3 linked regions of the Diceros bicornis minor genome follow. The protein of the gene in region 3 purifies or fractionates together with the protein of the main gene of each other region. This does not show direct contact. Links are inferred from orthologs where the notes say so. Each region holds a gene or a part of one and is shown on either strand. Other genes may lie near its edges.

The links. Proteins that work in one complex are often made in the same cells at the same time.
Region 1: the proteins of DHX9 (region 3) and PRMT1 purify together in Homo sapiens (affinity purification with mass spectrometry; 3 studies listed by BioGRID and IntAct, with this or other methods). This does not show direct contact. The link is inferred for Diceros bicornis minor from reciprocal best matches to the Homo sapiens genes DHX9 and PRMT1.
Region 2: the proteins of DHX9 (region 3) and DDX17 fractionate together in Homo sapiens (co-fractionation; 3 studies listed by BioGRID and IntAct, with this or other methods). This does not show direct contact. The link is inferred for Diceros bicornis minor from reciprocal best matches to the Homo sapiens genes DHX9 and DDX17.

Annotation. Positions count from the first base shown.
Region 1 is NC_080773.1:25,061,158-25,070,863, forward strand, and holds the start of PRMT1 (protein arginine N-methyltransferase 1), read left to right. Parts: upstream 1-5,928; 5' UTR 5,929-5,943; coding exon 5,944-5,979; intron 5,980-8,104; coding exon 8,105-8,158; intron 8,159-8,369; exon of another isoform or gene 8,370-8,459; coding exon of another isoform or gene 8,460-8,477; intron 8,478-8,694; coding exon 8,695-8,796; intron 8,797-9,558; coding exon 9,559-9,706. Other genes in the region: BCL2L12 (bcl-2-like protein 12), read left to right, coding at 735-785. UniProt on the Homo sapiens protein: Arginine methyltransferase that methylates (mono and asymmetric dimethylation) the guanidino nitrogens of arginyl residues present in proteins such as ESR1, histone H2, H3 and H4, FMR1, ILF3, HNRNPA1, HNRNPD, NFATC2IP, SUPT5H, TAF15, EWS, HABP4, SERBP1, RBM15, FOXO1, CHTOP, MAP3K5/ASK1, MICU1 and NPRL2.
Region 2 is NC_080764.1:11,436,713-11,446,439, reverse strand, and holds the start of DDX17 (probable ATP-dependent RNA helicase DDX17), read right to left. Parts: upstream 3,779-9,727; 5' UTR 3,618-3,778; coding exon 3,568-3,617; intron 1-3,567. UniProt on the Homo sapiens protein: As an RNA helicase, unwinds RNA and alters RNA structures through ATP binding and hydrolysis.
Region 3 is NC_080743.1:84,570,519-84,580,550, forward strand, and holds the start of DHX9 (ATP-dependent RNA helicase A), read right to left. Parts: upstream 4,161-10,032; 5' UTR 4,055-4,160; intron 1,362-4,054; 5' UTR 1,340-1,361; coding exon 1,229-1,339; intron 570-1,228; coding exon 429-569; intron 1-428. UniProt on the Homo sapiens protein: Multifunctional ATP-dependent nucleic acid helicase that unwinds DNA and RNA in a 3' to 5' direction and that plays important roles in many processes, such as DNA replication, transcriptional activation, post-transcriptional RNA regulation, mRNA translation and RNA-mediated gene silencing.

The sequences.
Region 1 (9,706 bases), on a different chromosome or scaffold from region 3:
GGGTGGGGAAGAGCTCCGTGGATTAGGGAGAGTCAGGGATGGTTGGAGGTGGTCCAGTCAAGGGAGAGATGCCCTTTGGCCCTCAAAGCAAGATGATGAGGGCACAGTGAATTTAAGTGTCTGGTGCTCAGTGCAGAAGCTTATTTGTAAAGTCATTTTATTTATTAAGGAATGATAACAGTAAGCTTGGCCAGGTGCTCAGCCCAGGGCTTCAGGGATGATCCCATTTAAACCCCACAGCAACCTTATGGGATTTAGTTATTATTCCCGTCTTGTGGAGGCTGAGAGGAAAGTCCCTCATGCAGGTGATTCCAATCAGCACATGGACACAAAGCCCAGGCTCTTAACCGTCCAAACCCCAGGACTCGTCTCCCTCTCTCTGCTGCCCTGTCTCTGTCCACCCCCATCTAGTGTCCACGCTCCTCTGGTGCTCTGCCCACCACCCTGGGGCTCTGTCGGTCCCCTCTCTCTCTAGGATTCTGTCCCCACCCACCTCTGGGTCCCTGTCCCCCTGTCTCTGGGTCTCTGTCACCCTTTCTCTGGGTCCCTGTCCCCTTCTCTCTGGGTCTCTGTCCCCCTCTCCCTGGGTCTCCATCCCCCTCTCTCTGGGTCTCTGTCCCCTCCCCTCCCTGGTTGCTTGCCTTCCCTGTCTCTGCTCCCACTGGCTGGTGCAGACGCCCCTGTGAGTGGAGGATGCCTCTCTGCTCACGAGGCTCTGCCACTTTTCCCCCCAGGAGGGCATCCTGGCCGTTTCACCCGTGGACTTGACCTTGCCCCTGGACTGAGATCTCCCTGAGAAGCTGCTACAAGACTGGACCTCATGTCTCTCTCTCTGTGTGCTTTCCCCAAGCCTTCCTATTCCACTCGGGGCTGTGGGGTGGTGGCTGCTCTCCCTGTTTCTGCCAAAAAGAAATTGTTTAAAATTTTTTCATATTAAAAACTTTTTCAAGTATTTAATTATCCTTTCACTTGAGAACTAAAGTTCTAAGTAGAGGAGATTTGGTTCAGAGAGCTCTCTGGTTTATAAATTGAGGAAAGAGCCAATTCATTTATTCTAGAAATATTTATTTGGAACGCCTACAAGAGCACCTGTCATCTGGATATACACCATATTTGAGGATCTCTGTAAGGATGATTCCAGCTAATTACATTTTTTTCCCTATTGCATGAATTATTTATTCCAGCTAATCCTGTGTTGGTGGTCTGGAGTCTTTCCAGCTAGTTCCAGAAGAAAGCTACAGTCTCCCTTCATGGGGCCTCCAGAACACCACTCTCTTCTCCTTTTTCTCCTCTCACTTTTTCTGAGCTTTTTTTGCTGGTTTCTTGTCATCCACCTGTAGACCGGGTAGGGGCCTAGCCCGCTTCACAGAATTATGTTTGTAAATGCATAAAATGAAATGCACAGGATTACAAAAGAAACCAATTACAGTCAATCCTCATTATTCGCAGATTCCGTATTTGCGAATTCACCTACTCGTGAAAATTTGTTGGTAATCCCCAAATGAATACTCCTGGTGCTTTAGTGGTTGTTGGTGGGCATTCTTGTGGGCAGAGTGGCAGAAGATTTGACCCGCCTGATGTGCACATTCTCTGCTGAGGTCGAGCAAGGTGACACGTGCCTTCCAATTTTTTTTTTTTTTTTTGCTGAGGAAGATTGGCCCTGAGCTAACATCTGTGCCTACCCTCCTCTATTTTTTTGCACGTGGGACGCCGCTACAGCATGGCTTGATGAGCAGTGTGTAGGTTTGTGCCTGGGATCTGAACCTGTGAACCCTGGGTTGCTGCAGCAGAGCATGCAAACTTAACCGCTACACCACTGGGCTGGGCTGGCCCCCCTTAACACGTGCCTTCTTGTTTCAGCTATCATACTATAAACAGGTGTCCTTTTTGCAATCTATTTAGTGCCACGTTTTTCACATTTTTGTGCTTTTTGTGGTGATTTCACTGTTACCACAGCCCCAAGCACAGTCCTGAAGTGCTGGCTAGCACTCCTAAGCACAAGAAGGCTGCGATGTGCCTTATGGAGAAAATATGTGTGTTAGATGAGCTTTGTTCAGGTGTGAGTTACAGTGCTGTTGGCCGAGAGTTCACTGTGAATGAATGAACAATATCTATTAAGTAAGGTGACTTTAAGCAGAAAACACACATAAAATAAGGTTGTTTATTGGTGGGCTGACAAAAGTGTTGGGACCAGAGGCTCACAGGAACCTGACCCTGAATTTTCCTTAGGAACGATGGCTCTGTGTTCACTAAGTCAGTGTTCGCAGCGACTTTTTAGAACATACACCACAAATCATAAGAATCGACCGTATATTGAAATAAAGTTTTCAGTGTTGATATAAAAATGAGTGTATATAATAATAGCCATGCTTCTTCATTAACATCAATTAACAACACCCAGAGAGCGTCTAATAACCATGATTTCTAAGTAGAGCAGGAATGACATTTTGAGGTATATTAGTTATTGCTGTGTAACAAATCCCACAAATTTAGCGGCTTATGATAATACACTTTTTTTGTGTGTGTGTGTAGAAGATCAGCCCTGAGCTAACATCTGTTGCCAATCCTCCTCTTTTTTGCTGAGGAAGACTGGCCCTGGGCTAACATCCGTGCCCATTTTCCTCCACTTTATATGGGACGCCGCCACAGCATGGCCTGACAAGCAGTGCTGCTGTGCGCGCCTGGGATCCAAACCTGGGCCGCCAGCGGAGCACGCACTTAACCGCTTCGCCACAGGGCGGCCCTGAGATTCTTTTTTTTTTTTTAATATAAAGTCCTCAGAATCTGGTGTGTGTCTTGCGCTCGCAACACATCTCGGTTCAGACTTGCCACAGTCCATTGCTCATTGCCCCATGGGGCAAGTGGCTGCCATGTTGGAAAATGCAGAATTTAATGCTGATGATGCCCCCACTTCTGACTCTTGCTCAGATCTCTCCCCTGAACTCTATACCCAGGTATCCCCCTGCCCAATGCCATCCTCTTTTCAATGACATTTGGTTATTCTGTAGTGTTGAAGAGATAGTTTGTATTAATTTTTTGCTCTTCGTAGCAGCACATAGCAAAAGTAATTGATCGGGTCAAAATACTTGGAAATCAGAAAAAAAGGTTAAAAAATGCTGACACGGGGCCAGCCTGGTGGCGCAAGTTGTTGAGTGCACGCGCTCCGCTGCGGCAGCCCGGGGTTCGCCAGTTCGGGTCCCGGGCGCGCACCGACCCACCAGTTGTCAGGCCATGCTGCAGCCAAGCCCCATATAAAGTGGAGGAAGATGGGCACGGGTGTGAGCCCAGGGCCAGTCTTCCTCAGCAAAAAAAGAGGAGGATTGGGAACAGATGTTAGCTCAGGGCCGATCTCCCTCACACTCACAAAAATGCTGAAACATTTGGAAAAATAGCAAAAAAAAAAAAACGGGGGGCCGGCCCGGTGGCGTAATGGTTAAGTGCACACGCTCTGCTGCGGCGGCCCAGGGTGTGCAAGTTCACATCCTGGGCGCGCACCGATGCACCGCTTGTCAAGCCACGCTGTGGCGGCGTCCCATATAAAGTAGAGGAAGATGGGCACGGATGTTAGCCCAGGGCCAGTCTTCCTCAGCAAAAAGAGGAGGATCGGCATCAGATATTAGCTCAGGCCTAGTCTTCCTCACCAAAAAAAAAAAGGCAGTACAGTAGGGGTCAAGATGTGGGCTGTGATAATTGATTAATAGGACTTCATCAAAATTTAGAATCTCTGCTCTTCCAAAGACAACGTTAATAAAATGAAAAGGCAAATCACAGATTGGGAGAAAATATTCCAAGTAGATATATCTGACAGACACTTGTCTCCAGAATCTATAAAGAACGTTTACAATTTCTGAATAAGAAAACAACACTGTAGGGGCTGGCCCGGTGGCTCAAGCGGTTAAGTGTGCGCACTCCACTTCAGCAGCCCGGGGTTTGCGGGTTTGGATCCTGGGTGCACACCGAGACACCGCTTGTCACACCATGCTGTGGTGGCGTCCCATATAAAGTAGAACAAGATGGGCACAGATGTTAGCTCAAGGCCAATCTTCCTCGGCAAAAAAAAAAAAAAAAGAGGATTGGCATAGCATATTAGCTCAGGGCTGATCTTCCTCACACACATACCAAAAAAAAGAAAAAAGAAAACAAAACCGTTTGTAAAAATGGGCAAAAGACTTGAACAAACACTCGATAAAAGAAGATACACACAAGGGCTGGCCCGGTGGCATGGTGGTTAAGTTCGCGCGCTCCGCTTTGCAGCCCGGGGTTCGAGGGTTCGGATCCCAGGTGCAGACCCACACACCACTCATCAAGCCATGCTATGGTGGTATCCCACATACAAAATAAAGGACGATTGGCACAGATGTTAGCTCAGGGCCAATCTTCCTCAAGCAGAAAAAAAAAAAAAGATACAGAAAAATGGCCAACAATCACACAAAAAAGTGCTCAACATTAGTGGTCAGGACAATGCAAAAGAGAACCACGAGATATCGCTTCATACCCACAAGAATGGTTAAAATTCAAGAAAATGGTGGAACACACTGGAAAACTTGGGAGTTTCTTATAAAGTTAAACATACACCTAACCGTAGCATACGACCTAGCCATCTGCTTCTAGGTTTAGCCGAGAGAAATGAAAGTGTGTGTCCACAGAAAGACTTGTAGGTGAACGTTCATAGCCACTTTATTTGTAATAACTCCAATCGGGAAACTACCCAGATGTCCATCAGCAAATTGTGATACAGCCACACGATGGAATACTCCTCAGCAGTAGAAAGGATGGGACAACTGTTGTATGCAACAACATGGCTGAAACTCAAAAGCATTATGCTGAGTGAAAGACAGACACCAAAGAGCACAAAGAGTATAATTCCATTCATATGAAATTTTAGAAAAGGGAAAGCTACACTATAGTGACAGAAAACAGAAAGGGGGAGGTCTTGACTGGAAATGGTCATAAAGGAACTATCTGGCGTGATGGATAGATTCTGCAAGTCGCATTCATCTTCATCCAACTAGTAACTTTCTGCAGGACGAGGAAAGCTTCCTGGAGTAGGCGGCCTCTGAGCTGGGCCCTGACTGACGTATAGGAGTTGGCCAGACGAAGGGAGGCGGGTGTTCCCGGCAATGGGAGGGGCTTGGCAAAGTCCAAGCGGCTTGAGCGGGCTCCCTGGGTTTTAAAAACTTGGGGCAGTTAAATAGAGGGCTAAAGGTTAAATGCCTCAATGCCTGAGGCTTATTCCTGACTTGTCTCGCAAGCCCGGACAAGCCCTCCCTCTCTGGACCTCGCACTGCTTCACATTTCCCCTCGGGTAAATAGGCATACGCTCTCTTGTTCCTCCTGGACTCCCCTAGGGCTGGGAGAATCCACCGAATGGGCGATGAGTGACAGTCCTTCTAACCAATCGCTGAAGCCTAAAACGGTACCTACCTCCTGATGGGCCAATCCCGTGTTCCCCTCGAGGCCGACAGCTTGGCGAGGGCAGGCCAAAGTCCTCGTGACGTCACATTTGGGCTAAGCCAATAGCAGCTATTAAAAGGCGGATCGTTTTGGTGACGGACAGCTCTATTTCAAGATGTCCACTTAGCGCGGGGCCCGCCGGGAAGTTGTGAGGCGGTGCTGGTGGGGGAACGGGCGGGAATTCCTGGTTGACTTTGCCCAATCATCAGTCGCGCTTCTTACGATAGACGGGCAGTCTTTCCCATCCCGGTCGACTTAAGGGGGCGGGGCTCTACACGCCAGACTGGGCGGGCCCCTGAACTTTGACGGGCGTCTTCTTCGTCCAATTGTCAAATGGTATTCCCAGACGGGCCGCCTTCACTGCCAATGAGATCTCCAGGCGGGGTCGCGCTGGGCGGGCCGTGGACCCTCCGGTATAAGACGGTCCCGGGGGAGTGCGGAGAAAGGGGGGGGTTTCGGCGGCCGGAGGAGGAGTAGGTGCGGGTGAAGATGGCGGCAGCGGAGGCCGCGAACTGCATCATGGAGGTGAGCGCCTGGAGCGCCGTCGGGGGCGGGGGCGGTTTGGGGGTCGGTGTTTTATGCCTCCGTCATGGAGAAGGAGCTCCGAATAGACGGATTGGGGCAGAAGGCCCCCAGCCGTACCGAGAGGGCGTCGCATATTCCGGATCCGGGGGTACCTTTTGAAGTTCGGGCTCCCTAGCTTTCGGGGGCCCGCGGCAGCCGGCCGAACCGTGGGTATCGTGCCCCCTCCCACGTGGAGGAGGGCCGGGGGCGCTTCCGGCCTGGCCCCCACGTGGCCGCGGCGCGGTGGGTGGGGAGGGGGTGTGCCGTGCCCGGTGGCCTGGCGGGCTCCACGTGTGGGACAAAGGCCCCGCCCCCGACCGGAGGAGGGGCGCCCGGGGGGGCGGGGAGGAGGCTCCGACCCTCCCTCGGACGCCCCCAGCCCACCTCCCCGGGGATCGTGACATACGCCTCTGGTGGCACTTACCTGGGGTCCTCTGCGAAGTAAAGAGCCTCTTAGGAGGGGCGATGTATCTTGAGCCTCTGCAACCCCCTTTCCGGGAGCGGGGCGTCTGCTTAGGCATCGGTCCAGGTTTCGTGCACTTTGGGGTTGGGGTTGGAGGAAGACTAAGAATTGGCCCCCTTCGGGCCGTCCCGTTTCCTGTTGCTGGATTCTCCCCCGCCCTGCGCTCTGGGAGCTGGGGGGATGGGGTATGCCCCTGTGACCTCCCTCTGGGGGGGCACCTAGCTGAAGGAGATCCTTCTCGATAAGGCTTCGTGCACCCCCTTGTGGCCATTTCTGGGTGTGTGGGAGGGACATCTTTTTCATGGGGCGTGTCCCAAAGCCCACCTCCTGGTTGGAGCCCTCCGGGGCAAGGGGAGGGAGAGTTTGTCTGCTGGGAAGGGGATGTGATGGAATACAGGCTGCGAGCTTAACCCCTTACAGGACCCCTTTCTCCGACGCATTTGTGAGAGTGGGAGATGACCTCCCCCTTCCTGATGTCCTATTTAGGGGTCCTGAGCTTTGATGCATGAAGTGGTTTCCCGTGAGGTTTGGTTCTTGTGCTGCCATGTGGGGCTGGTTGCGGTGCTGGATTTCAAGCCCTCTTGGGGCTCGTCTGGTGGTGGTATTAGTGGTGTTGAGAAATGGGCCCCAGTGGGAAATCCCCTCCCCAGGCTTCCTTACTGGCTTGGAGGATGGGAGTGGGGCTTGGAGCCCAGTGGGTCGTGTCTGTGACTTCACGCTTGGAGGGTGGTCACATCTGGAAGAGATGTAATGTGATGGGGCCTCAGTCACCAAGATGCATACCATTGGGGGGGAGCTCCCAGGGGTCACTCCAGTGTGACCACCCCCCATGGCTCTCTCCTGGACCCGGGCCTGTATCTGGTCGTGGAAGAAATATCTTCCCCAGAGGTTGTCCCCGGACTTGGCCCCACACCTGGGGGGCTTCAGGGCCTTGGATGGGTGTGTGAATGAGGGGAGAGGGGCTTGAGGGGCCAGAGTCTGGCCATCCTCCCTGGGACTACCTTTCTGGGTAGAGGGTAACAAGAGAGGTGATTGGTTCCAGCTGGTTTTGTTCTGGCCTTCCTGAGCCCAACGCAGGAGGTAGAGGCTGGGGTGCCACCTCTGGTGGGGGTGCCACACCTCCTTTCTGGAATCCTCTCATAAGAGACTGGTTTGCAGAGGTGGCAGATGCCCAGTGGGTGCACCTTGCCAGCCCCCCTCCCCCAGCTACTCCTGGCACCCCAGGATGGGGGTGTGTGTCAGGAAATGTCACCTAATCTGGGGGGATTAGATGATGAGGGGGAGTGACAGCTGGCAGTGCCTGTGTGCCCGGCGGGTGCCATTCCTCTGGCCAGGATGGGGGAGGTGTGTATGGTCAGGTGCCTGGCCAGAGAGGGGCAGTGTTGGGGCAGGCCACCATCTCTCCAGCCACAGCTGAGACAGGACCCCTCTCTTCTCCCTCCACTTCTCTCTTTTTAAAAACAGCCCCGCCTCTTTACTTGCTCCCTCTGTCACCACTCCCCACCAAGGAAAAGGAAAATTGCAGGCAACACCCCCCTGCCCCTACGGGCCTGTGTCCTCTGGCCTGGCCTTCCCCTAGCCACCCCCAGTAGCTAATCCTTTCTCCCTGTTACTCTCTCCTAGAATTTTGTAGCCACCTTGGCTAATGGGATGAGCCTCCAGCCGCCTCTTGAAGAAGTAAATATCCTTTTGTGAGACCCTTCCCCACATAAACATGTCTTGCCACACATCAGGCCCTTCCTAGCAGTCTAACCATGATCTCTCTTGCTTCAAACTGTTTACTCCGTACCTCCGAAGCACTTACTCCAAACTCCCTCCAGCTCTGTGGCCCCCAGCTGGCCTCCCCCAATACTGTGGCTACTTCCTTAACTCCATTCCCAGCCCCCCTTTGCCCTTCCCTGTGTCGACCCCAGTTCTGCTTCCCCTCCCCTCTCCAGCTGTGGGCTGAGCTAGAGATGGGGGCAGAGAGACTGGAGAGATGGTAGGCGTGGCTGAGGTATCGGGGTGCTCCCCTGGATGGTGCTTTGGGGGGGGTCCTGGAAAGAGAGAATGGGGTTGTTAGGTTTTGGGGTTCTGGGGGAGGCAAGATGGCAGGCGGGGGCTGTAGGTACGATTTGGGGGGTGTCTATGCTCTTCATAAGTAGGGACCTGGAGGTTTAAGAAGCCGTGGGGAGCCCCCAGTTTTGACCCGCGCTCCCATCCACCCCTCCCAGGTCTCCTGTGGCCAGGCAGAGAGCAGCGAGAAGCCCAATGCTGAGGACATGACTTCCAAAGATTACTACTTTGACTCGTACGCTCACTTCGGCATCCACGAGGTGAGTGTGGACAGTTCCTGAGAATGCTGATTCTTCGTGGGGTTAATGTTTGGCAGGGCTGGACCTGAATTTCCCACGCATGTGCAGTGCCTCCCCTGGCAGCGGGCCGCCCCTTTGCGCATGCGTGGCACACGCTCCGGGGGTCCTTTCGCTCAGCCGTTGCCTTGGAGACCGAGGTGAACCTGGCAGCTCCACGGGGCCGCTCTTGGGAGGCTGGAGTGGGAGCGCGCATGCGTGCCTGCGACTCCAGCCGGAGGGCGGGGCGTGCCGGTCTCTGCCGCCCTCTCGTGACCGGTGGTGGGACTGTCCCCCAGCTGCTCACGCCCGGTGCGCAGACGTGCCTTTTTGCACCCTGTGGAGGCTGAGGTCCCAGAAAGTAGCTGGGATGGGAGTCTGAGGATTTTTTTTTTTTTCACTATGGCCTTTTTGGAATTGTGGTGAAATATACGTAAAATTGACCATTTTCAAGTATACAGTTCAGTGGCATTAAGTTACTGAGGACTTTTGAAAGCCAAGGATTGCTGGGGTTTAGGAGGCAGTGGTGGAATCGGGTTGAGATGGGAGTTTAGTCCGTCCAGTCTGATTTTAAAAATAGGGAAACTGAGGCACCTGGAAGGGAAATGACTTGTTCCGAGGGGACTAAGCAAGTGGGAGGGCTGAGCTCTAGCTCTCCAAACCCAGTGAGTTGGAGGCCAGGGCAGCCCCTGTTCCAGCTGGAAAATGAACCCCCTCATGGTATCCTTGTGCTCCCGCCCCCCCCAGGAGATGCTGAAGGATGAGGTGCGCACCCTCACCTACCGCAACTCCATGTTTCACAACCGGCACCTCTTCAAAGACAAGGTCGTGCTGGATGTGGGCTCGGGGACGGGGATCCTCTGCATGTTTGCTGCCAAGGCCGGGGCCCGCAAGG
Region 2 (9,727 bases), on a different chromosome or scaffold from region 3:
CCTTATATCTTTCTGTTCCCAGGCAAACAGCACTCTTAATTTAACTATAAATTTACCCAAAAAACCCATTAATGTCTCAAAGTTTTTAAAACTCAGATTTAAAATGAGTCTTTTTGCTTTATCTAACTTTCACAACAGACAAGTTCAATTGGAATACAAATATGGCCACTAGTCACACTTGAAATGTTCTACTTTTCCTAGCCTAGCACTAAGATGGTCTTCATTTCCATACTGCAACCCATTAAAGTACAGGGCATTGTTTGGTGTACAAATAGTATACAGCACGTTTTTAAACCATTTCCTTACTCTTGAAAACACTATACTGAATTTAATTTTCCTCTTCCACTCTAACCCACTCGTAACATCATTCGGCAGATGGTTCCACTTTATAATTGACAGGCAGTAGTTGTACTATTTTAAAGGGCCTCAATCTCCTGGAATTCAAAGCGTTCTTAAACTCTTTGGCTTAAAGACTCAGCTAGATATTTCTTTAAATACAGACATACAAAGATTTATGGCAGGAAATTTTCTTGGGACCATTGAGTATTTACATTCAATAGGCAAAATTTGGTGGATTCTATTTATACTACTGCTAAATTGGTAAGAGAAATGAGGAATCAAAACAGGAAAAGGATATTGCATAGGGATACATATATCAAACCAAAGACCAATTTTTAGAGATTGTCAGCCTAGTTTATATAAATTTATATGGTTCCTAGAGGGTGCCATTTAAATGCTGCTGCACTCCAATCCTACCCAGACCGTAAACGAATTAAACTTCTTAAAGTAAGGTTCCTTTTAAGGCTTATTCAAAGCCTCTATTTAAAAGAAAAAAAATGTTTTTCCTTTCTCTCTATTGTCTTGGCTAACTGTCCAAGACATATCTTCCTACTCTATTATAAAGATATAATTTGAAACATGGGGGTCTTTATAAATATGCTGTCTTCTACCTTTACGATTAATGCTGCCTTCAATATTCAAGAGAGCCTTTTACTCTTGTAGAATTTTTGAGCACATCTGTGCCATCCTTTAAAGATGCACATATCCTAATCCCTGGCACACTATGCTGCTCATTAACTGTTTTTATCAAGAATTAAGTTTGACTATGCCATAAATGCAGCTTTGAAATAAGTCATGGGGATGTAATGTACAGCATGGTGACTACAGTCAATAATATCGTATTGTATATTCGAAAAAGCTGAGTAGATTTTAAAAGTTCTCTTCACAAGAAAAAAGTTTTATAACTTTGTATAGTAACGAATGGTAACTACAGTTACTGTGGCGATCGCTTCTCAATGTATACAAATATTCAATCATAATATTATACACCTGAAACTAATGTCAATTATATTTCAATAAAAAAATAAAATGCAACTTTGAAGATTTATATATTAACATGCAAAATCACGCTAGTTTAAAGGTACAATGCACACCATTTTTGGACTGTAAGTGTACATATAGTGACCTCACTCATTCTCTTTTCAAAATAATAGTCCACTTCACTTAAGAACATTCAGTTAAGAATGAAACAACAGCAACTCAAACCATAAAGGAAATTTCATGATAAAGGTAGTTAGAGCACAGACCTTATGAAAGAGTGCCACTTTGTTTGAAATGAATTATTTTTAAAGCTTTTTTTTTTTTAAACATCATTTGATACTCAAAGAATCAATATGGGACAAACTATGGATCAGTAATTCACTTTTTCCCCTTTTCTAATTTATTTTTATTATTAAAGTATACATACAGTGAAATGAACCAAACACCTATGGTTAAAGACACAGAACATTACCAGTACCCTGGTAGCCTCCATGTGCCTATTCCATTTACAACCCCCACCATAACTATCTTGAAATTTTAACCATTCCCTTGCTTCTCATAGTCTTGTCATATTTGTAGGTATCCTTATACACGTTATGCTTCTACCACAACTTGTTTTGCTCAATATTATGTTTGTGAGTCACCCACACTGATACAAGTTTTTTTTCTTTTTCACCGCTGTATTGTATTCTACTGTACAAATATCCACAATTTGTCCAGACATTTAAGCTGTTACCAATATTCTATCATGAACAATGGGGTATAAACATTATTTTGCACACAGACATCGGAGCACGTGTACATGGGTTTCTCTAGGCCTTACAGTCTAGAGTACAAAGCTTGAGAGAGGAATTACTGGGTCATTTTCACCTCTATCAGATAATGTTAAGTTCTTTTTCCTAAGCGTTTATACTGAAATTCACTTCTAAACTTAGCTATTACTGTGAAACACTAAGCAAACATTCCACTTCTAGCCCTCCAAATTTAACATTAAGATCAAACATTTTCCTTCCTAACAAGGTATAATTCAAAACAATCTTTTTTATTTTTTAAATTAAGTGAAGGTGAGGTGCCTGTGACTACAAGGTCTGGTACTTGTGTATCTGAACCCCCAAAACCAAAAATGTTTGGAGAAAATATTAAAGAACACCTACTACAGAAAGACAATTACACACCGTATCTCAATTCCCCACAACAATGCAAAGTAAGGGCAATTATTATCCCCACCTTCAGATGAGAAAATAGGCACACAAAGGTTCAGGATCTTGCCTGAGGTTACATATATATTCAAACGGCATCACATTACTTTTTATCTAGAGATACAACTTTTATTACAAAAAAGTAACAGCACAAATCAACATGGATCTCTTAAGCAACTTTTTCGTCTAACCCGACATTAAGATTTGAATCTCAGGATCTGAGAGAACTTCAGTTTTAATCCTGTTAACATCCAACCCAGTAACCACGGCATTACTAAACGAAACACTTTCTAGTTAGGCTGAGAAGATAATGCTCCAGTCCAATTAGGGAAACAAAAGACTGAAAGGTTAAAAAAAAAAAACAAAAAAAACAACCTACACTAACGACCAAACCAAAAAAACCCCTCTCCCCAAATTTAGATGGCAAATAATTTCACTGTTTACTTTCCAAGATGCTTGCTTCTAATTTGTTAAAATACGACTAAAAGTGATAGAAAATACTTTTAAAACCACAAGTCAGCCTTCTGGTCTCTAGTTGCAAACCAGGTTTCCAATTCCAGGCACAGCTATCTCGGGCGACAGATAACACCAGGGAGGCCATTTCGCGTTCAGATTGCCTAGGCCGACCGCGGAGACCCCACGCTCTTCTCTCACCGCGAACCCCCGTGCTCCAGATGAACGCCGAGGCCTGGGGAATCAAGCGGCTCGGCCGGAACCGAGGCAAGGGCCGGGCCGGGGGTGCGGCGGTCACCCCCTCCCGCTCCCGCGGGGCCGCGCCACGACGGCCGTCCGCAAGGAGGGGCCGGGGCGTCGCCAAGCCGCCGCCCCCCGCCAGGTCATCAGCGACCCTGGGGCCCAGGCCCACCCCGAGGCCCGCGCTCGACCCCGCTATTATGCCTCGGGTGGCCCCGCCTGCGGAGTCGAGAGCGTCGCTCCCAGGCCTGCAGGCGCTCAAAGCCTCCGGCTCGGCTGCAGGCTGCGGTCTCCTCAGGAAGCAGCCCCCCGCGCCCCACGCACACGCGGAGCCTCTCCTCTCCTCCCCCCTTACCCTCCACGGTCACGATCCCGGTCCCGGTCCCCAAAGCCGCCTCCGCGCATGGTCCCAAATGGATAGAGATCTGGGAGCGGGGCACGGATGGCCGGGCTCGGGAGGGCCTGCGGCTCCGGTCTGGTGACGACCGATGGCGGCGGCGCCTCCGCTGTTGGGGCGGCGGCAGGCGCGGCGCTCTCTCGCTCCGACGCGCTGTCTCCCGTCGCAGACGCCACCGTCGCCGCCTCTCTCGTCGGAGACGGGAGCAAAACACAGAGAATCGGGGTTATAAAAACAGTGGCTAGGTTTGGCTACGCTCAAACCCGGCACTGCCGCGGTTTAGGCGTCTCCTTCCCTCCCAGCGACTGCACAAAATGGCGGCCGGCGCTGAGACTGCTCCAGCTTAACGCTACGTACGTCGGAGGCGATACGTAAACAGCGTCTCGGAACAGTCCGAGGGCTTCGCGGAGTACTACGGGTATTCTTGAAGGCATTTTACGTCAGTTGCGGAGGTGGGCGCATTTTGCGGCCGGCAGAAGTAAAACAAAGTACGGATCGAGCGTAGAGTTCTCGCGCCACCTGAACTAGAACGTGGTGGTGGGTGGGGGGGCGGTGAAGAGCCTCCGGTGCGACGTAACATTCTTTGCGTCGTTAGCCGGCCCACTATTGCGAAGATGCGCAGTGTGCGTAACGCATTCTGTTTGGAGAATAGAGGATTTTGCCGGGTTCCGACCGCGGGCCGGAATCCGGGTCCGCTTGTGCAAGTTTGTTTGCATAGACAATAACTGTCGTCCATCTTGCCGTCGTCAAGTTTCAGGGTCTCCAGGTGCCGAAAGTCCAGGAGGGTCTTCAGGGTCTCTGGCTGGCGCTCCTCCATGGCCTTGCCGGCTCTTCGGCCCCGCCGCCCTGGGCCTGCCGAAACTGACCGCGCGCCCGGCGCCATTTCCTTTCAGTTGCCTCCCGGCGCGCTGTCGCCGGCAGCCATGATGGATGCGCCATGTCGGTTCTTTCGGGAGTTGGTCAGGCGGCGACGTCCCCGCTGAGTTAAAGCACTCTTTGCTGCAGTTGGTTCACACAGAAGTGCATTTTCTGAACAGAATGTTTACCCTGTCCTCGGCTGAGCACAGTTGGCTAACAAAGAACCAAAATGTGGGTGAAGCCCCACTTACGGTGGCCGCCGCGGTCCTTTGGCCGCCATTAGCCGGCGCTGCCTCAGGAGGCCCGTGGAGGCCCTTAGCGCTCTCCCGAAGCGGAGGCGTCCAAGCGGTGGGCCTCAGAAAAGGTGAAGGCCTGAGGACGTGTTTGTGAGCAGGCTAGGCCGCGTTCTCTCTCAGTTCGTCGAAGCTGGCTCTTCTCCGCGCCTGCTGCTTCCCCTCCCACTGCACTGTGAAGTCCCACAGGCGTGGCTAGGTGGCCTCACGGAATCCTCGAGCCGCGAGGGCCCTTGGAGAGCGCTCGTTTGACATCTCTTTTATTTATTTCTACAGATGGATAGAAGGGGGGACACTTGAGGCCCCTCGTCGTGGGGGCCAAGTGGTGTCTTCCGCTCTGTTCTGTTTCCCAAATTACTGCAAAAGTAGCATAGGGAGTAGAGCTTCAGGACAGGCTGTTCAGATGTCTCTTGGGCCGAAAGAGGCAGATGGGCCGTGGGATTCATTGGACAAGTGTTGACGGCCTAAGGGATGGAGCAGTGGGCTGGGAACTGGGGCACAGCAGTGAACAAATGAGTTCCTGCACTCGTGGAGTTTACGCTCTAGTGGGGGAGATAGACAATAAATGTTTATGTTAGGCAGTTGCTAACTAAGATAAAAAGAAAGAAAAGTAAAGCAGAGAAAAGGGACAGAGAGTGTATGTGTGCCTGCGTGGGAGGGAAGTATGCCTGTTACATAGTGTTAAACAGGGTGTCATAGGAAGGCCTCCCTGATCAAGTGACATCTGAGCAGAGACCTCAAGTGAAGGAGCTAGCCTTGTTTACATAGCGGAAAGAGCAAGTGCAAAGGCCCTGTGGCAGAATGTGGCTGGAGTAGAGGTAGGAGGAAAGATGGGAGAAGGCCAGAAATAAGAAGGGCTTGTAGGCCAATGTAAGGACTTTGTATTTTCCTTTCAGTAAATTGGAAATCTCTAGAAGGTTTTAAGCAGACTGACATAATAAAAGGACCTCTACGACTACAGTGTGGAGAATTAAATTGAGAGTGAGCTAGGGCAGAAGCAGGCAGATTAATTGGGAGGCTAGTGCAGTAATCCAGGCAAGAGATGATGGGGCTTGGTTTGGGTTAACAGCAACCAGTAAAGGAGAAATGGTCTGATTGAAAATTGAGCCAATGATTTGCTGATGGGTGGGATAGGAAAGAAAGAAGTGTCAAGGATGAATCTTGTAGGAGTTGGCCAACAATTAAGCTCCTACTGTGTTTTAGACTGTACAGGAACTGAGGGAGTTATTTGGACTGGTTTGCCTATTTATCATATATGCTAAGTAATTAAATCTGAGGCTCTCTATATAACAATAAATAATTTATAAAGTAAGGTAAGTCCACTGAAACCCTCCCTACATTTTGCCAGGGGGAAATAATTCATATTTTGCTACTAGATCATGTCCCTGTCTTACAGCAACTCATAGCTCCTTTGTCTTCATAAAGCTTTTCACAGTATGTAATTATATAGTTGTCATTATTTGATTAATCCTGCCTTCCAGAAAAAGGGAACTTTGAGTCTTCCTCTGGCAGACAAGTTTCTGATTATAAAGTAAATCCATAGTATGCATTCTCATTCTTGATCTAATCTCTGTTTTCCTGCTGAAGATGGTTGAAGCTTATTACATTTTTTCTAAACACAGAGAAACAGTTTCATTAGGGAGGTTGGAGAACCTAGGAATTTCATTAGTAACAGCCAAGACCGTTGGTGAAAATGAAAATATACTTTGCTCAATTCATCCTTTTTTTGGAAAATCTAACCATACCTTACCGTACTATGCAATCCAGCAATCACACTCCTTGAGATTTCCCAAAAGATTTGACAACTTATTTCCACACAAAAACCTGCACAAGAATGTTTGTAGCAGTTTTATTCATAATTGCCCAAACTTGGAAGCAACCAAGATGTCCTTCAATAGGTGAATGGATAAACTGTGGTACATCCAGAACCTAAAATATGTTTTCAGAATTTTCTTAGGGGGGAATATTTGAAGACCACTAATTTTAAAAGGTGAACCCAGACCAAGTAGGGCCTGAGGGCGCTGGAGAGCCATGCTCCTTCTCAAGTGGGTGCCTCATTGTCCAGCCAGTTGTTGCCAGGTAGACATTCAGGCCCAGAGTGTTAGTTATTGACTCTGAATGTGTGTGTTAGTGACTTCTGTATTAGAGAGACATAGAAGAATCCCACCCTCACTGAGTGTTTTTCAATTTTGCTATTCTGTGTCTCTTGCTTAAAAACTTTCTGTGGCTCCCGTGACCTAAAGACCAAACTGTAGCTCCACAGTCTGACATTTAAGGCCTTCCAAATTCTGGCCCCAACCTCTTACCACCCTCCTGCTTTGGCAAATCTCTATTCTCTATTCTTCACCCACTTCCCCCCCCCCACAATTTCTGTGATTTTTGTTAATCCCTCTCAGTGCATGCAAATAGAAAAACTCAAGGTCCACTTCTGCCTCCTCCCTGCCTTGGAACCTTAGGGAAGTGATCTCCTGTACTCTGGCACTTAGAGGCATTAATCACTTGATTAACCCAAGGAAAACGATATTCTTTCTGATCTCTTTTTAGATAATGGGGGCAGCTGTTCACTTCCTCCCCTCAACACACGGCACACAAGCAAGCTGAGGAAGAAAAGAGTTCAGACTACACAGTCAGCTCACTAGGGATGAAACAGAATTTATTAAAGAGACAGAATGACTCACAGTCCTAGAGATTAACAGTGTTAATGCATGTTAAAGACTCTAAATGAGAAGAGGGGGTTTATAATTAACAAGGTGTGACAAATACTACACTCACATACACAAATGCTTGGCACTTATTTTTTGGAACACAGGATAAATCCACCCTGCCCTTTGCCTCAGCAAATGGACCTTTCTAATTAGGGCGGGACAAGAAAAATATTTTTGGTGATGAAAAAATTGTTATAATTCTTTAGCAGACTTCTAAGTCAAGGGATCATAGTAGCTGAAGGCTCTTTGGTCTGTTGCATATAAATAAATTTAAAGACAGTATTAAATGATGGGTATGGGAGTGCAAAATCCGAGAAGCCAAATAAAGTCAAAAAGCTTTGCATGGGGGATGTGGGGGAGGAGCCAATAAGGTAATGATTTTACCTTCAATAAAAGCAGTAATGCTCATTAGTGCTTAGTAGAGGGTGTTTGTTTAATGGAGGTGCCATTAAGATGCCATGGAGTACTGAGTTCCACTTCAAGATGGATGCCAGTTGAGAAGAGAGATTGTCTGTGGGGACGTAGCCACATATGAGGTAACTGGTTCTCCGTCCAAAGAGAAAATTCCGAGATATTTCAGTAGATTGAAAGGCACAGGGATGTAATTTTCTTTAGATTCCTGGTTCCTGCTGGGGAACACAAACAAGTCTTTCTTCTTTCCTGAAGAACAGGTGATTGGGGTTGCTTTTGACAAACATAAAGAGGAAAAAGCCTTCATAGGCTGGAGGGGAGGGAGTAGGTATACACTAAAATTGAGACCAAATTCCTTGAGCAAGAGTTAGAGGGGTGGGTTCGTGTTTTTTAATAGATTCCTCTGTGTTCTTCAGACAGATACAGGGGTATTTATTAGATATGGAGCTGAGTGGAGAGTCAGAGAGGAAAGTCGGCAATATCCTGCTGATGAATAGAATGGAAAGGAGGAGAACTGACCGCAAAGTATATAATTATGTTACAGTGAATTGTACTTTAGAAACCCAGAGACTTAATAATGTGAAGAAAAACAGGCTGGCACCAAAAATCAGAATATAAGGACAAAGACAGTGAAAACATCGATAGGTCAATTAAACAGCAACTGGTGTCTCTAAGATATTATATAATGAGAAGGAAAGCTGTAGTATTTACATAATTTTGATCACAGAGGCGAAATATAGTTTGCATATACTTGGAGGAAAACCAACTAGCCTTAGGGCTATCTCTGAGGAAGGACTGTGCCAAACAAGGACAGCAAACCTACACACATGCGCGCACACACACACACACACACACACACACACCCCCTCTGATCTGGGGGTGGTTCAGATTGTAACTGGGTAGAAGGAAGGCAGAGTCAAAAGGAGGGACTTTTGCTTTTGTATACATTCATATGTATGTTTGTTTGAAAATTTATGAGGGTACTGCAGGCCTGTTCCCCTCAGTCTGGCTCCTGCTCAGAGTAAATAAGTCAGTGTAAGCAGATTCACGTGGCTTTACCTCCTCTACCTGTTGGAATCACTGCAAGGACCAGTTCTTTGATTAGGAAATGAGGGAGTTGACTCCCTTGACAGTACTTGTGAACTGAATTGGGATTGTAGTGTTCAGGACAGGCTTTTTGCTTTCTGCCAAGGAGAAGTGAAACTACTTGGGGAAGGACGTGGAGGGGAGGTTGGAAATGCAGTCATCCATAGAGCTACCCAAGGTAGAGGGTGCCTTGTCCAGGCAATGTGAATGTCCCGGGTGCCTGGCAGGCCTTTGCGCCTGCCCCAAACCTGGTCAGGTTAACCCCAGGCAAGGCAGCTCCCTCAGCAGGTACTCTCATAACTGTCTGTACTTTTGCTTTGTAGCACTTAACCACGTTTGTGGTTATTGGGTGATTTTTCCCTGCAACTCCATGTCTCAAGGACTATCTGTCTTGATTAATCATTACTATATCGGTTGTACTTGGCATATAACTGGTGTCTCACTGTTGGTCGAATGCAAGGCAATATGCTTTATTACTAAGGGATACGTATATATGTAGTGTAAGAATAAAGAAATACATGGGAATGTTGGACAACAAATTCAGAAAAATGAATAATTCTATGAGGGAGGAAAGAGATTCAATCCTAGAGGATAGTCAAGGGTCTTCAATTGTGTTAGTAATGTTTCATTTCACATATATTGATTGTATTATTTTTTATACCTTTTTGTCTTAAATACTTCATAATACATTTACAATGTACATATGAATGAATGAATGGGGATCAATGTAATGGGCCCTCAGAGCCCATATATAATTCAAGGTTT
Region 3 (10,032 bases):
ACACAATAATGATGTTCCATTGCACGAAGTACTATTTTCTCTCTGATATGTGTGTCAGTGGGAGCAAACACTGTGTCTTAAAATGTTACTGACTTTTATACTCTACTTAAAATGTTATCTTTGGAAGTACACAGAACACAACAGACTCTGAAAAATCAGTTTATGAATGAATGAAACATTCAAAACCAGGAGACACACAGATTAAAGGTATTTCCCAAGCCTACAAGTCCACTACATTATAAGAATGAAATCCACAGCTTCAGGAACTCATCCTAGGGCTCCGAGAAAACAAGATGCCAAGGTTCACTAAGCAACACATTAATATATTTGATAACAACATTGAAAAATTATTACCCTGGGTCTCCATACATAGTGGGTTGGCATAACTTTATAACATACATCTCAAGTTCTTGGTCATAAGTACTTACCCCAACAGCTGGGACTTCTTCACTCTTTACTTCATTTATTCGAACCAAATAGTTAACAAAGTCTCTGGCAGCATTGCTCTGTGCATCTTTTTTATTGGTGGAATTGCCCATGCCAGTGTAATTATATCCTTCCACTCGAACCTTTAACAGTCATGAAAAACATGTATTAAGAGATCGATCTGGGTAATCCTGGGATTTAAAAACTTCATAATTCAACAGTCCATTAAGGGATAACAGTTAACTGTTGGAGACAGACTATAAACAGGCTGAAAATAACACACCTAGGAGAATTCATGGGCTTTCTTATGAAAATGCTTGAGTTGTGTTGTCCATTGATAAACTAATCCAAAAACAAGAGCATTAACTTATGTGGCTCAGATAGTCTCTTCTCATGTAACAGAATGTTCCACATTAAAATTGAATTTTATAAGATCCAAGAACAAGCTCTCCATCTGTATTTATTTTAAACACTTTGACTTGAAGCAATCAAGAATTGCTCCACTTTCTACAGGAGTTAGTAAAACAGCAAACAGCTGATCCAACTTTTCTACCATGCACTACTGGTATCATAGAAGTTGAGGAAGATGCATGTTCTAATTAGAATAATCCACCTCTCAGACTGTTCTAAAAGTAATGCTCACATGAAAATGATTTATAATGAACCAGAATAGCAGGCAAGTCACAATAAAGAACATTCTCCAACATGCAACGCATTAACATTTCCAAATAGAAAACACTGTTCTTTTAACACCAAAATAAGCCTCAAAAATCACATAAATGTAAACTGTATTCTTTAGTACCTCACACATGAATTTCTGCCTGTTTTTGTTCCCCACTGCTCTAATTTCATAGGATGGGGTCATCTTCCTTTTGCCACACCAGGCATACAGAAAATTTTTAACATCACCCATGTTTCAAATATCTTCTTCAGACCTAAGAAAACAATAGTTAAAAACAGCATTATTTATAAGAGCAAATATTGGAAATTACCAATCTGGAAATAAACAATAAGTGAGATTTACTGAAAATCCAGGTTAAGTACAGGATATTCTATCATGCTGCTATTAAAATCACCTATGAGGAAACTTTAAAGACATGATTGGAAAGTTCATGACACATTACAAGAAGGAGCAGGCTACAAAACTGTAAGATCTGAACTATGTAACAAGTATATATGCATAAATCAAGACTGGAAAGAAATATGCCCCAAAATGGTTATCTTTGGGTGACTATGAGTGATTTTTATCTTTTCTTAAAAAATATTTGACGTAATGTACTCCCCCATATTTTTTTTTTTTTTTTTTTTACAATAAGCATCTTACGTGTCTTAATTCACTTAATTCTCACAACGATGGAAGACAACATTACATGGTAGATACTATCATCATCTTTTACAGAGGTAGAAACTAGGGCATAGAAAGTTTAAGTAACTTTTCCCAGTCACTCACTTGTGGAGGCCTAAATTCAAATTCAGAGTGCCAAGTTGGCACTCTCCCTCTACTCCAGTTTATAAGATACCAAAAGACATGGTGCCTATGAATCTAAAATCTGAGTCTAATTTACAAGATACCTGAGACCAAATTTAGAACCAATGAAAATATGCTATGAATTTGGTTTGCTGTGAGAAGAAATCCCATTACTAACATTAAACTTTGGTCTTCTGTTAATGTTTAGTGTATTTTGTTAGCACCAAAGTCTAATGTCATCAAACTGGACCCTAGCATAAACTTGTTAATAAGTTTATTCTGCAGCCAGAGGCTAATCCTGGGGACATCCTATTAACTGAAAAGCTACGGAAAGCTGAAGATGTCTATCTATAAACTCCACTCCTGAATAATTAATTCAAAAAACAAGCCCTCAGGGTGAATGAGTAACATGAAATATGAAGGACTACACTATCTAATTCCTTCCTCCCTAGGTAGTTTCATCTAACTCTGTAATATTCAGTATCAAGTATATGCTAATGATGCCCAAACTGATATATATTGAAAATTCAGTCTTTTCTCTTCAAATTTCAAAATCAAGTTTATCTAGGCGCCGGCCCATGGCATAGTTCAGTGGTTCAGGTCCCTGGCGTGGACCTACTGTGGTAGTGTCCCATATACAAAACAGAGGAAGACTGGCACAGATGTTAGTTCAGGGACAATCTTCCTCAAGCAAAAAGAGGAAGACTGGCAACAGATGTTAGCTCAGGGCCAATCTTCTTCACCAAAATAAAACAAAAACAAAAACAAAAAAAGGAAGACTGGCAACAGATGTTAGCTCACGGCTTATCTTCCTCAGCAAAAACATTTTTTAAAAAATCAAGTTCATCCAACTGCAGCACTAACATACCCAGTTGAATGCTAATTTGGCATCTCAGTCAAAACAGAATTTTAAAATTCCTCCCAAACCTCTTCCTCCTCCCCCTAATCCCAGTGTTCCCATCTCCTTAAATGGCACCACCATCCACTCACGTCACAATCTGGGAGTCATCCACTCCTTCAAGATCCTCCATAGCTATCCCTTGTGGAGCCCTTTCTGTGTACCAGACAGTAAGAATCCTGAGGATCATCTACATGAACTATTTTACTTAACCCTTACAACAACTGTATAGATACGCATTATTATCATCCCCTTTTTACAGATAGGTAAACTGAGACAAAGAATAACTTGCCCAAAAGACAGAGCTCTAAGTGGGGGACCCAGAATTCCAAACCAGATAATCCGACTCCTGATCTACTACGCAATTCTGCCTCCAAAACATGTCTCTAATCCATTCGCTTCTCTCCATCTCCCCTGCCACCGCTACTGCACACCGGAGTACTGCAATCACGTCCTAAATGACGCCCCCGTTTCTACTCTAGCCACCCTAAAATCCGTTCTTCTCTTAAATCCTCACCACACTCCAGTCACATGGCCTTCTTTCAGCTTCTTTCCAATCCCTGCCTTTAAGCGCTAACTAATCCCTTCTGCCCCTGCAGTTCAGCTTTTCCTCCGCATCTTTACGGCTGACGCCATTCTCGGTCTCAAGGCCGAGATACCAGCTCAAAGGTCGACCTCTTCCAAAACGCCTTCCCTTTCCATCCCACCTAAAGTAGCTCTCTCCCTTTACACGCCGTAATTCCTCTCTCTTCACCGAAACCTGCAGACATTTGTTCTCCTACAGCCCCCACCCCCACCACGACCACAACCTCGGCGAGGGAAGGGCAGGGCCCCCGCCTAACGTGTGCACTGCTCTTCCCACAGCGCCTGCGGGGCAGCGCCCAGTATTTACGGCCTGAATGAATGAATGAAGGGCTCTGGGCGCGTCGGCGTCACGGCGGGCTCACCACCAGACCATTCACCCCCTTTCACTCAGCGGCGACGGCGACAGCGCCACCGCCGCGCGCTGGCCGGAGGAGGAAGTAGGGTCGGGCTGCTTCGGAGACAGGACTGGGAATCGCCGGGCGAAGGACTGGGGGCCACAACGCGGCCCCCGGCGGCGCGGCGAGCAGCACACGACCCGCAATCCGGGCACCCGGCGGGGCGGCTCCCCCTTCCCCCACCCGCCGCCGCCGCCCGCGCTCCGCAACAAAGCCCGGCTGCAGAGCCGCGAGGCTCCACGCCGCCCCAACGGGTGGCAAAGACGTCTTTCTCCTACCGACCTCCGCTTCCTGGTGCCGGAGAACACAGCTCTCTCACGACCGCCCGTGACGCCGGCCTTCCTCACCAACACCCAGCACGCGCACCGCAACTTGCATGGAAGCGGCAGCGAAATGGCTCCGACGGCGGCGCCAGAGGGGCGGGGTCAGTGCACGTACGCATGCGCAGAGCGCGAGGCTGGGCCAGAGGGCGCCCGGAGGGAGGGGCGGGGCCGCAGCAACCTCGCCGCGGGTAGCGTCCCGTCGCCTGGGAGATCCGCGGAGCTTAGCCCGCCGCGCCCCAGTCCCGCTTCTTCTTGTAGTGCGCTAGCTGCCTTTAAACATTTTGGGGAGTTGGGGACCTGTAGCATTTTGATGCTGCAAAATGTTTCGCTTAAGGGGGCCTCTGGTAGATGAGGTCCTTTGAAGCCAGAACTGGAAATCTTAGGTGCTATCTTCACAGGGTTGTTGAGATGATTAAATGAGTCGGCATATGAAGGGGCCTTAGCGCAAGACGTGGCACATGATTGGCGTTCAATAGGTATTGTTATTGTAGTGACTGAGATACTCCAACGCGAAAGTCTCCTGAAAGAGAAATAAGCTCAGTGAAGGCAGGAACCCTGACTGGCTAGCTCGGGCCACTCACCGCAGTGCTTGGCACATCCTAAGTGCCTGGGAAAAACTAGTTTAATAAATGGGTAAAACCTGCAGGGCTGTTTTTGCTTAAATTGGATAGCTTTTTGTCTTCAGAGTCTTTGGAATACTTTGTATCCTTAACTATTATATAGCAGTCACTGTTAAATTTTTTAACTCTAGTTCTTCCCATGAAGGCAACAATACAAAATAGTTCAAGTTGGGTTTGTTCCAGATACTGGTTGTCCCATTATGTGGGCCCATCATACTATCCATCCTTATTTTTCACCTCTTTCATTACGTTTTTTCTTAACTCTTGCTCACAGTAATCAATCCCTTTAACTTGGTTGCTCTTACAATCAAACAGTTTATAATTTACCCATTCTTTTATTTTCTTTATGTGTTTGCTCTCTTCAATTAAGAGTAAAATCATTTGAGGGAAAGACCTTTATCTTTTATTTATTTCGTACCCACCAGGGGAATCAAAGCAGCAGATACCTGAGTTATTTATGATAAGAGACACTCAACTAGCATAAATGGATTGCAAGTGTTTTGTAGTAGGTAATGAACACAGCAAAAGTGTCAGCATATTAAGTGTAAATAAAATATTCAGAGGTGGATCTTTACCTTCCAAGGATTAAGGAAAATTTTATTATTGATTTGGTTCTTTTTTGTGTGTTAGGAAGATCAGCCCTGTGCTAACATCTGCCAATCCTCCTCTTTTTTGTTTTGCTGAGGAAGACTGGCCCTGGGCTAACATCCGTGCCCATCTTCCTCCACTTTATATGGGAGGCCGCCACAGCATGGCTTGCCAGGTGGTGCGTTGGTGCACACCTGGGATCCAAACCAGCGAACCCCGGGCCCCCCACAGCAGAGGGCGAGCACTTAACTGCTTGGGCCACCAGGCTGGCCCGATTTGGTTCTTAATTTAGGCCTTGCACCTGAGACCTAGAGTCCCCAGGGAATTGGCATTACCTTTGTAGGTTGCCCCAGGCAACTAGCACCTCTAAGATCTTCCTTAACATTTGCAGATGAAGCTTCAAAACATGCTCCAGAAATACAGAAAGTTGACAGATTTCAATCCAACTATTAACTGTTCCTAGTATATGACTATCTAGAAAACTACAGAGGTTAGTAAAGCAAGACAGAGCAGTGTGGGAATTTTTTTAAGCTTGGTAAGGAAATAAGTAACATTCTTCCTACCTGAGAATGTGGAACTGAGGCTACAGATCACTCATAAAGATCAAATAATGAAAGGTCTGTTTCAAATGGGTTACTTAACATTTCACATTTACCTTCTTGGCTAGAAATGACTTAGTTCCTGAGTTTGGTAGAAAATAAAGGTTATAAAGATATATCTTAATCTGTAGATTGTATGTGGAAAAAAACTGGCAAAGTTTCTCATATCATTTCTTACTTCTGCCAATCCAACAGACTGAGGCCAAGTTTCTGGCAAGGAGGATGGGATGGTTATAACCGACACTTATGGTTGAAATGGATGATGAGAAATGGAAGAGGATGTTTTGACTCATCACTCTTCCTCTGTTTCTCAAATACACAAAGAGTTGGAGAGGAGGAATGGATTAAGAAAACCTGATGCCAGAACTAGGCTGTAAGCAAGGTCATGATGTCTTGAGGAGGCCAGTGCTGGTGACGTTTGAGCCCACTCAGCGGCTTGTGAACACCAATGACACTTGCGCCCTTCATTGCTCTTGTACTAGCATATACAGTGTTGTACCCAGGCAGGGATGAAGCTTTTCCTTTTTAAAAAAGGTTCACAGAGACTTCCTGACAGCTTGGATGGCTTGACTTCAGACTCTTAGGAAGCTGCCTACGCTGCTGAATAGGCTGAAGTCCACGTAGTCAGGATTCTTCTTGAACCATTACATTCTTTCCACTTCCAAACCCAGAATGAATTAGGTTAAAATTGGTAGGTTTACATTAAGAAGATATAAAAAAGACAAAAGAAGTGAAATTTCAGGGTAGAGAGAAAGGTAGAATTTAGAGACAGAGAGAAGGTGGGTGCTCTTTGCATCCCAGGAAGGTATCCAGTCCAAGTGATCCTGTGGGCCAGACTCTTCTGGTGCTCTTACCAGCGCATCCACGGAACCTGGATGTCAGACAGGATGACGGGAAATATCTATAAAAAATATCCCCTTAAAGGAAAGTTCAAAGGTACAAACTGTAAGGCAAAAAACTAAAGGCATGGATTATATTAAAATTAAGGCTAGGGGCCGGCCTGGTGGCACAAGCCGTTAAGTGCGTGCGCTCCGCTGCGGTGGCCCAGGGTTCACCAGTTCGGATCCCAGGCGTGCACCGACGCACGGCTTCGCAAGCCATGCTGTGGCGGCGTCCCATATAAAGTGGAGGAAGATGGGCATGGATGTTAGCCCAGGGTCAGTCTTCCTCAGCAAAAAAAACAGGAGGATTGGCAGATGTTAGCACAGGGCTGATCTTCGTGATAAAAAAACAAAAACAAAAAAATTAAGGCTATCAGCTCAATAAAAGACACCATGAATGAAGTTAATAGATAGTTGAAAGAGTTGGGGAAGATGTTCATGATGTTTAAGGTTGTCAAGAGATGATTAACTATTCTAAACTATTCAAGGAACTCCTTCAAATCAACAAGAAAAATGTAGCAATCCTCACAGAAAAATGGGCAAAGGCCACGAAGCAGCAATTTTCAGAAGAGGGAAACCAAAAGGTCACTAAGCATATTCAAGGTGCTCAAAAGCATTAGTAACAAGAGAAATGCATTTAAAACAGCAGTCAGATATCACCACATGCCCATTAGATTGGCAAAAATTAGAAAAGTGAATAATGTCAAATGTTGGTGGTGATGTGGGGATATAAGATTCACCACACGCAGCTGGTAAAAAAGTAGACTGGTACAGCCATTCTGGAGAGAAATCTGATACTAGTCAAACAAATTGTTTGGGTGGGTAAAATCAAACAAGTCTGCTCTTGGAGATATATATATACACCTATATATATATTATTGAGATCTATATCAAAGAAATTCTCATGTAAGTCCAAAAAAGAACAGTAAGATATGTTTATTACAGCATTGCTTGAGTTGGCAGGGAGCAGCAATTTGGGTGCTCCTCCCTAGACAGATAAAATGTAGTGGATGTTAACCATGGAATCCAATGCAGCAGAAGAAATGAATTAGATATACACAAACCTTAAAGGCACAGGGATAAATGAAAAGAATAAGGAACAAAATAAGTTATATAACAGCATTTATATAAATAAAAAACAGCAATACATATTTTGCATAAAAAATTGTAAAAGATCACATTAAACACATCAGAATGGATGTCTATCACAGGGGGAGAGGAATGGGACTGAGGAATTATTTAAAAAAGGAGATTCAACAATTCTAGACTCCCTCAGATAGATGTGGAAGATTGTAAATGATAAGGATGTCAAGGACAGACATATGGTCTAATTCCTACTTACATTAACTAAAAGAAATATTTATTGAAAGCATTTTTTTTGTACTAGGCACTGTTCTAGAGGAAACAGCCCTAAACAAGACAGATGAGATCCTTTTCTCATGGAGATTGCTCTTAGAGACTTCCGTGATAGAGCAGCTTTTATCAAACACTCTGAAGGAAGAAAAAAATCAAAAGAAAACAGCTGTTTGAAGCATTAGAAAGCAATCAAGGAAGCTAATATATGTGAGGGGCCAAAATCCTGAGGAAGCAGCAGCAGCAGAGATTTTGTGTCACTTCTCACTTGGAAGTGTGGGAGATCAAAATTTGGCCACCCTGAAATATATCTCTTTACCTTGATTGTTTTCTCTGAAGGACATTTGACCTCCCCCACTAACTGCCTAAAGAATTTGACATGGTGGCTCCTTCCTGGAACAGATCTTCCATCTGATGGCTGTAATATAATGTAAAATAGATGTTACAATAGGAAAGGCACCAACAAGCCCATCTTATCAGAAATTCTGTCTCTCTGGCCACATTCTCTGGATGGCCCTGCGAGGAGTTGCCAGACAAACATTTACATTTATAAGGGAAATCTCCATTTGTAAAGGTATCTCCCTTTCTGTCTTGGGAAGAGGGGGGATGACCTCATTTCTAGAAACTTATCAATGTGGAAGGTGAGGTCTTAAATCTGCATAATAACCTTACCTTTGTTTACAGTGCTTTAGTGGTAATCTCCTGTAACTGACACCCCCCACCCCCAACATCCTCCTTTGTCTTTAGAAGAAGATGGTATTTAAGATGAGAATTTCTGCTATTGTGTTGAGAAACGCGTGTCCCTGCTTTCTCCCATGTATACATGTTATTAAACTTGGTATTATTTTCTCCTGCTAACCTGTCTTGTTGATTATTTGGCCAGCCAGAAGAACCTTAAGGGAAAGGGCAGAGGGAGATTCTCCCTCTTCCCCCGACAGAAGCATTTGCTGATTCCCAAGTTGCCTGGGCCAAGAGATCAAGACGCCAAGTAGAAAACAACGGCTGAGAGGCTGAAAAGCAGAGCTCTCAGCAGTCTCATGGTACTGGAGAGACAAACCTGGAGTCCACCAAGGAAGAGAGGAGTGGCAAACACTGCAGGCTTTCAGCCGAGACCCGCCCGCCCCCCTCCTCCCGGCAGAGCTACATTCTATAATTTTATTTATTTATTTATTTATTTATTTATTCATTCATTCATTCATTCATTCATTCATTCATTCCCCCAAGCCCCAGTAGATAGTTGTATGTCATAGCTGCACATCCTTCTAGTTGCTGTATGTGGGACGCGGCCTCAGCATGGCCAGAGAAGCAGCACATCGGTGCGCGCCCGGGATCCGAACCCACGCTGCCAGCAGCGGAGCGCACGCACTTAACCGCTAAGCCACGGGGCCGGCCTGAGAGCTACATTCTAAGGAGAAGGACAAAGTCAGGAAAATGAACCCCAGCCTTGAATCATCTCATTTCCTGATTGGATCAAAGTGCTCTACCTTACTCTTCCTGCCAGAAAAGGAAGATAAAATGATCTACAACCTCTCAATTTATCTATAGAATCTCCCACATTCATTTAAAAAAATCTCCAGGCAAGCCAGGAGACAGGCCAAATGACTGAAAACCAAGAGGAAAAAAATATAACAGAAAAAGACCCATAAATGATTGAGACATTGAACTGATCAGACTTTATAAGAATTATGATTAATATGTTCAAGAAAATAGATGAAAACATTGGAGATATTTTACAGAGAGCTGGAATAAATGAAAAAATCAAATAGAAACTTTAGAAGTGAAAATACAATAACTGAAATTCAAAACTCAATTAATGAGTTTACTAGTAGATTGTACATAGCAGAAAAGAGGATTAGTCAATTGGAAATGTTACCGCCCAGAAAGGGCGTTCGTCTG